Xenopus tropicalis: one gene and its partner. The protein of the gene in region 1 interacts with the protein of each later gene in a pairwise test. Links are inferred from orthologs where the notes say so. Each region holds a gene or a part of one and is shown on either strand. Other genes may lie near its edges.

What was found.
Region 2: the proteins of blmh (region 1) and nudt12 interact in binary tests that used the Homo sapiens proteins (3 or more experiments, as listed by UniProt). The two-hybrid records come from large-scale screens. The link is inferred for Xenopus tropicalis from reciprocal best matches to the Homo sapiens genes BLMH and NUDT12.

The regions. Positions count from the first base shown.
Region 1 is NC_030678.2:32,501,300-32,505,905, forward strand, and holds the start of blmh (bleomycin hydrolase), read right to left. Parts: upstream 3,129-4,606; 5' UTR 3,085-3,128; coding exon 3,075-3,084; intron 1,301-3,074; coding exon 1,103-1,300; intron 22-1,102; coding exon 1-21. UniProt on the Homo sapiens protein: The normal physiological role of BLM hydrolase is unknown, but it catalyzes the inactivation of the antitumor drug BLM (a glycopeptide) by hydrolyzing the carboxamide bond of its B-aminoalaninamide moiety thus protecting normal and malignant cells from BLM toxicity.
Region 2 is NC_030677.2:175,351,963-175,354,875, reverse strand, and holds the end of nudt12 (peroxisomal NADH pyrophosphatase NUDT12), read right to left. Parts: intron 1,297-2,913; coding exon 1,186-1,296; 3' UTR 628-1,185; downstream 1-627. UniProt on the Homo sapiens protein: mRNA decapping enzyme that specifically removes the nicotinamide adenine dinucleotide (NAD) cap from a subset of mRNAs by hydrolyzing the diphosphate linkage to produce nicotinamide mononucleotide (NMN) and 5' monophosphate mRNA.

The DNA of each region.
Region 1 (4,606 bases):
AGGAAAATATCCAGCATCTTCCTGAAGAATAAATGAGTATGTATTTAATTTTTGTTGTCTATGTGCTTAACAGCCAGGTGTAAAGTGCAGGCTGTGCTTTCATGTTTATTTAAGTTTAGCAACATCCCAACAACCCAAAGGACAACACAGAAGTAGTCACAATTTGTCTTTAAGAAGTGATACAGGTGTCTGTTATCCGGAAACCCGTTATCCGGAAACCTGTTATCCAGAAAGCTCCGAATTGTGGAAAGGCTACTTCCCATTTACTCTAGTTTAATCAAATCATTTAAATTTTTAAAAATGGTTTCCCTTTTCTATGTAACAATAAAACAGTGATTTGTACTTGGTCCTAAAAAAGATTTAATTAATTCTTACTGGAGGCAAAACAATTTTATTGGGTTAAATTAATGTTTGGAGACTTAAGGTATGGAGATCCATATTACAGAAAGACCCCTTATTCAGAAAAGTCCCAAGCATTCTGGATAACAGATCCCATACCTGTGCTACTCCTTTTATGGTTGATGAAAAATTAACAAAGAAAGGAGGAAGCACTGCTCCTCAGCACACTAGCTGCACTCTAACTGCAGGTACTGTTGGACTGAAGGCAGCTTTGAGGAACAGTCATCCTCAGAAAAAAAAATAGATCCGATGGGTGGCAAAACAACTGCGTACCACTGCTTTTACAGAACACTACATGGCATTATGTTCATTAAGGACGTGTCAGCAAAATGGGGTCATACATAGTACCCCCCATATTGGGATTCCACCGGAGGTTCTTATTGATACGGTAAATTCAATTCCAACAATGTCTGTAATAACTGCAATACTGTATGAATACTTGAGAGTATACTTTACATCCATTGATACTAGGAAGCTGTGTGTGTGTGTGTGTCAGACCTGGATTGGGAGGCCCTGGCATTCCAAGAACACAGAGGCCCAAACAGCCCCAACTAACAGACTAAATAATAACATTTGGTGGCATCTTACAGCAGGCCTTCTGGCATTTGCCAAAATCCCCAGATTGCCAGTCCAGGCCTGGTGTGGGTGGAAGCAGAACCTCTGTAAGTGCATTTAAAAAATAAAAACAGCATGGCTCCCTTACCTGAGTTCTTTTGGTTCGTAACTGGTTTACCCTCTGCCGGGATAGTGTGCTGGAAAACGTGTACTGTGTCCTGCACAGTCTGCCTCTGAAGACACACTTCAAGTGGATCGATACATGTTGCTACATTTTGAGCCAGTAAGAACTGAGGTTCGGATTTCAGTTTTTCCTTGAAAGATGATGTTTTCTCCAAGCTTAAACCTTAAAGGAAGCAGAGTACTGCAAGTCAAAAGAAGTGTTGAATCAAATAAATATGCTGTGTAATATTTGTTTTACTTATTAAGTATTTAAGCTAGCTAGAAACAATAAAAATGAAAGCAACTTAAATTTTACTGTAATGTGATGTGTTCATAGGGTATACATTTCTAAAAGCTACCCTAATTTAGCTTTTTATAAAGTAATAATATTACATTGTAAGGTTAATGGTAAAAAGTGATCATCACCAAATGATCGAATTACAACAACGGAAACATGCTTGAGTGCATTAGAGTAAAATCAGAAAAAGCCGACAATTTGCTCTACTGTGCATGCATATCCCAGGACCCAGCAGATGCACGGCGATCACTAAAAAAAGCACCCCCAGGTTCGTAATTTTTAGTGAAGAGTTGCAAAGCCCAAGGTCTGAGGTAAGTGATTATACTCAATATAAATATATAATGATCATCTATAATGGAAAATGCATGCCCTTCTCTCAGCTATAGGGACACTGGAACTAGAAGTCTCAAAATTCTGTAACCATAAATGTATAAGAATGCAGGCCAAGTGCCTTTAAGTTTAAAAAAATTAAATTTGTTTCCCCCCACCAGAGGTGCGGGCTAATAGAACAAACAATAGTTTTCTCTAAAAATAAAAAAATGTGCATTTTGTGCATGTGTGTGACATAGAAGCAGTGGATGCGACTCTCCATTCCATCACACGCATACACATAATAAGAGAGTTGTGACATTTGCTCGTTATGCGCATGTGAGAGCCACAACATACTTGTCCGAATTGCTCTATTAGCACGCATCTCTGGTGGAGAAAGCAATTTTAGGGTGATAGGTGCTCATTAAGAAAGGGGTACAGTAGCTGCTATATACATAAAATTCTCTCTAGTGTAGATGTACTGCGAGAAAAGGATCATTGAGTCATAGCAGCAAGCCAGTTGCCAATAGTGTGCGCAAGGATACCCATATTGTTGTTGGATACATGGCCAAACAGTCTTTTGAGGGAAACTGTATGTACCCCTATTGTTAAAGGCATGGATAGTGGAGAAGACAAAGGAGGTTCATGACCTCACAAATTCACATGGCTAACACACTAAGTTCTTTCATACAGGCCATGCAACTCCTAGGTAGCTTCTAATAATTCTTCTATTTGAAAATAAAGGGGATATAATGTTACAATTGTGTGAAAAAAAACAAAACAAAACCCAAAATGGTTTAAAATCATGTGATAACCCTTTCAATAAATACTCTTTACTCACTTTTAACAATGAAATGGAGTTTGACCTTTTTTTTTTTGACTTCTCATTTTATTGATACCGTGCATATAAAGCCTCCTTTCCCTAAGAAATCTCCTGTGCAAACCAGAACAAATACCACCATAGGTACATTTCTCGTTACAGGAAGGTAATCCGTGAGGGCACACCAATATGTACACTGGTTACTGTTTTTTACAACTTCGCTACGGTAGAAGGAGAAACAACAAGCATGACATTTCTTAAACGAAGAAACGAGCTGGACTACAATTCCCAGCATTCAGTGGGGGTGACATAACAACACAGCTTCATGGTTCAGGATGCAGGCGAGCAAACGCCACAAAGGTTAACACATTAGAGCCCCGCCTGCTGCTAGAAAAACACGCCCCTGGCTGCTATTCCCCGCCCATGACTCAGCACAAGCGACAGTAAAATCACAGTAAAGGAGGCAAGCCCACTGCCAATGGCCTCTCCGCCAGGGAAATATGTTTGAGTTGTAGCTCCCCTGTCCCTTACCCGCGCTCATGGTACAACTTCTTGCTCTCAGGTGCGACAGCGCAGTGACAATTCCTTCTCTGACAATGTGCCGGCAAATCTCACCCCCTGCCTACAGCTTTCCGGGCGACGCAGGAAGTGGTGGGTCAGGACGTGTGAAAGGCAGGCCGTGATTGGCTAGGGGGCGTGTCCTTTGCCGGCCAGGAAAATAAGTAGCACGTGATCTTGCGTGTTCTGTGCGTACCTTGTTAGAGTATAGGAAGTTGTGTGTGTAGTAGAACCGTGGTGGAGACTTGTGGCGCTAGGCTGAAAGAATAAAGCGCTTTTCGGTGGTTTCCATTGTTTTCGTTTATATTCGCGGTACGAATGTGATTCTTCTTTAGGGAAGAGAAAATCATCGAGAAAGAAATGAAAGTGGGGAGGTGTAAAAAAAAAAGAAATACGGGGTGCAGGGATGAGAAGAGGAAAGTAGGCGACAGAGAGGCTGAAGGAAGCTTTAACTAGATCAAAATGAAAGAGGAAAGGGTGGAAAGCAAAATGAAAAGAATACATTTGAAGTTCAGCCTGACGCGTATACAGCGCACATTGCTAAGTTAAACGGTCTGTTGTCTTAGGAAGATCCCCAATGTATGGTCAGAAATATTTTTGGTAATGTTCCACACTACCTGGCTATGGTGGGATTGGTAAGGGCTAATCCAACAACCAGGTTGCCCATGGCATCACAACGATTTCACTAGAGGAATAAGTTGTCCAGGGTGGGCAGGGATAAATTATAATAGGAAGACAAGGGACACTATAAAACTTGATTTATCAGTAATTGGGGATACGAATTACATATAGGGCTTTATAGGAAATGGGGCCCAATTATGTATAATTATGGTAAACTCAAAAGAAATCCACAGCACTTGACCTTTACAGACAAAGTCCTCCACTACACAAAAAGCCATGTAATAAAAGTTGTGGAGAATATGTGGGCATTTTATAAATAAATAATAGTAAAGGTTAGTGCTCGTATAGCTTTTTCATGTGCTGGAGCCGATTATTAAATGAGTCCAGTAATCTGATGCAGATAGAATTCATGCTTATCCCCAGTGGTGTAACTATAGAGGACGTAGACCTCATGGTTGCAGGGGGGGACTGGACAGCCGCAGGGTCTGCTATAGTTTTAAGAAATCCCTGCCCAGGGGCACTGTTGCCATGAGGCGAGTTGAGAAACTTGCCTCAGGCTGTAGCGCCCCCCAAAAAGACACGGGGCAGCAAAGAGCCGCTCCTGATAACTTTAAGAGACAAATTTTCTAGCCAGCTGTTATTGCACCATTGCTTATACCTTGATCTTAGCTACATGCCATTTATCTAATACTCTAATGAAGTTAAACTATGGTTGCCACCTTGTCTATAAAATAAACACCACCCTTCCTTTTTCTGTTTCTACTCTAATAATTTCACTGCTACCAAGTATCATTTAACTGGGAAAACCTTTAAAATACTATCAACTAAAGGTTACCTGTTTCATAACTGTTCATTAAATTGAACAACCAAATGATCAATGCCAA
Region 2 (2,913 bases), on another chromosome or scaffold:
TGCACTTTGATCTCTGTAGTTCTGTGTCTCGCAACACTCAGCACAACAAGATCAAAGGCCCTGGCATGCAGGGGATAAAGTCACCAATGTGGGAATGTACCGTTATTCTTAAAAAAATATATATTAAATATATATATATTCTCATTCTAACTACTTGTTAAAATAACTCACATTCTAAAATATAAATATATCAATAAACACTAAACTAACAAAAATATAGAAGTTTTTACACAGACTTAGCTGATTGCTCAGATTAAGAGGAAACAAGGATAGTCTGGCTCTCACTTGCATGGATCATTTCCCAACCTCCCCCCACCCATTAGTCTAGCATTCCCTCTGTGCACCCCACAGACTGCCCCATCACAGATTGTCACTGCTTAGATTGAGCTGTTGAGTCCAGTTTGGTGCTTTTGTTTTGTTACACTTGGTTGTACAATTGCAGCAGAGTGCTCCCATGCATTGCTCTGAGCCTTCACCTGTGGATGAGTGGATGAATTGAAATCGATGTAGGGCAGGGGGGCATAAAAACCTCTTGGCAGATCTCATCTGGACTGCAGGCCTTTAGTTTGTACAGCCCTGCTTTAAATCATACATTGTTTTAAATGGTATCCAAAATAAACAAACACATTAAATAATAAATATATTTATTAAGTATGAATTACTAAGGTTGTATTTATGCCCTTATATACAGGTATGGAATCTCTAATCCAGAAACCCTGAAAACTGGGGTTTCTGAGATAAAGGTTTTTCCATAATTTGGATCACCATAGTTTAAGTTTACTAAATAGCATTTAAACATGAAATAAGCCCAATGATTAATTTGTCACCAATATGGATTCATGCAGCTTAGTTGTATTGAGTACAAGGTACTGTTTTATTATTACAGAAAAAAATGAAATCACTTTTAAAAATGTAAATTATTTGTTTAAAATAGACTCTATAGAGATAACCTTTCCATAATTTGGACCTTTCTGGATAATGGGTTTCCAGATAAATTTTCATTCTGCCTGAAAATTTAGCACAAAAAAGGATTTTGTAGTAAAATATTAAAGTTGGGATTTATTGCATTGATTATAGTGTTTATGCTTCTCATCCTGTAGGTGCAATGATAGTACATCCCTATGGAAACTGCATTTCTCAGTTCTTAAAATAAAAATGTTAAATGTATATTTAGATCACACAAATTTACAGATTGGCATTCATTCCGATCCAGTGCTTTATTAACTGATATGCAATGGCTTGCCTTGGCGGTACAGTTAATGCATGATGGTTTCCTTTAATCACTGCATCTACAACCTGCAACACAAAAAAACAGATCTTGTTATAATCATTTATGATTTATATGACATTAATCCTAATGTAAACCACAGTATTATTTCCTGGAATTTCTATCTTTGCCTGGACACTATCAGAATCCTATCAGAATCCTAATACATTGGTTATAATAATAAGAAACAAAAAGGTTTCTCATTATTAGCTTCTGGATCCCCTAACACCACAAATTAATGCCAATGCCAATAATAGTTTTAGTGTATTCAGTGGCTCTCTTTCCAGGAAGGGTAAATTGTAACTATTAGCCTAATAAATTATATCTTTATAAGCATGGACTTATCCTCTAGCAGAGAGTCACTGGGGTGTTTATTAAGGCTTGGCATCAGAGGAATCAGTGTTTAAAGGACAAGGAAAGGTAAAATCATTAGGCACCCCCAGTGATACTATTCACTTACTTCAGACCCCAAGTCAGCACTCCTCTTATTCCAAAAATCTCTCTTTAGCACTATGATTCCATGCTCTTGCAGTGCCCCAGCATCCCCTGTGCTTGCACATGCACAAGTACAGAATTAGTGACAAATTCCTGCAGCGCTTATTCTCACTCGAGATGGCATAGGGGATGTTGGGACACCACTTTTCAACATAAATTCCTTGGCTCCTAAATTTGCTCCACTGCCCCAAGTGTGTCCTTAGTGTACATATACATTGAACAGATATTGGCTGCAACATGTTAAACATTGGATAAATATAGGCAGCGATATTTTAAACAGGCCTTCAAAGCACTGTGCATCACACAGGCTTCTATACTGGAAACAAAACACTGCATCTGACAGCTAGGAATAAATGAGTGCTTCTGTATAAAGCATTTACTGTACAACTTGATGACATTACTTTTATTATCCTTCATTTATATGGTGCCAACATGTTTCCCCAGCTCTTTGCACAGAGAGTTCATCATTTATATCATTCCCTGCCCCACTGGAGCTTAAGTGCTAGGTCCCTATCACACTTGGACATGGGTCAGAAGCCAATTAACCTGCCTGTATGTTTATGGAGTGAGGGAGGAAGCTGGAGTGGCCGGAGGACATCCACGTAGACACAGGGGGAACATACAATATCCCTGCAGATAGCGTCCATGTCAGAACTGAACTCAGGACCCATAGCTGCTAGGCATACACTTATAGGCTTCCACTTAAACTATAGAATAGCTCTTCTTTGTTCAGGATGCAGCAATTATGTTGTTTTATAGTCTATTTTCCATTTGTTGTGGCATAGTTTTCCTTCACATGACAACTGAGAACAGAGACTGACTTGAAAATATACTGCTGTTTTATTAAATGAGGCTCAAATTTCTTACCTCCCTTTTTCCTACAGATCATATTTTGCTGTTATTGCTTTAAAAAAAGAACATTTTCATATGGTGACAAGATTTGCATTTTTAAAGGCAGTCAGCCATATAAATGATTTATGGTTAAAGAGTAATGTATCATAGAGAAAGGCGAAGAACCGAATACAACCTGTGCCTCCAACAGAGGAAGCAATAAAAAGATTACAAGACAAAAATGCATATTTTGGAGTACCACACTGTGCATCACTCTGGTCTCTAAATATGCAGAGAAAATTGAATTACACATGAAAGAG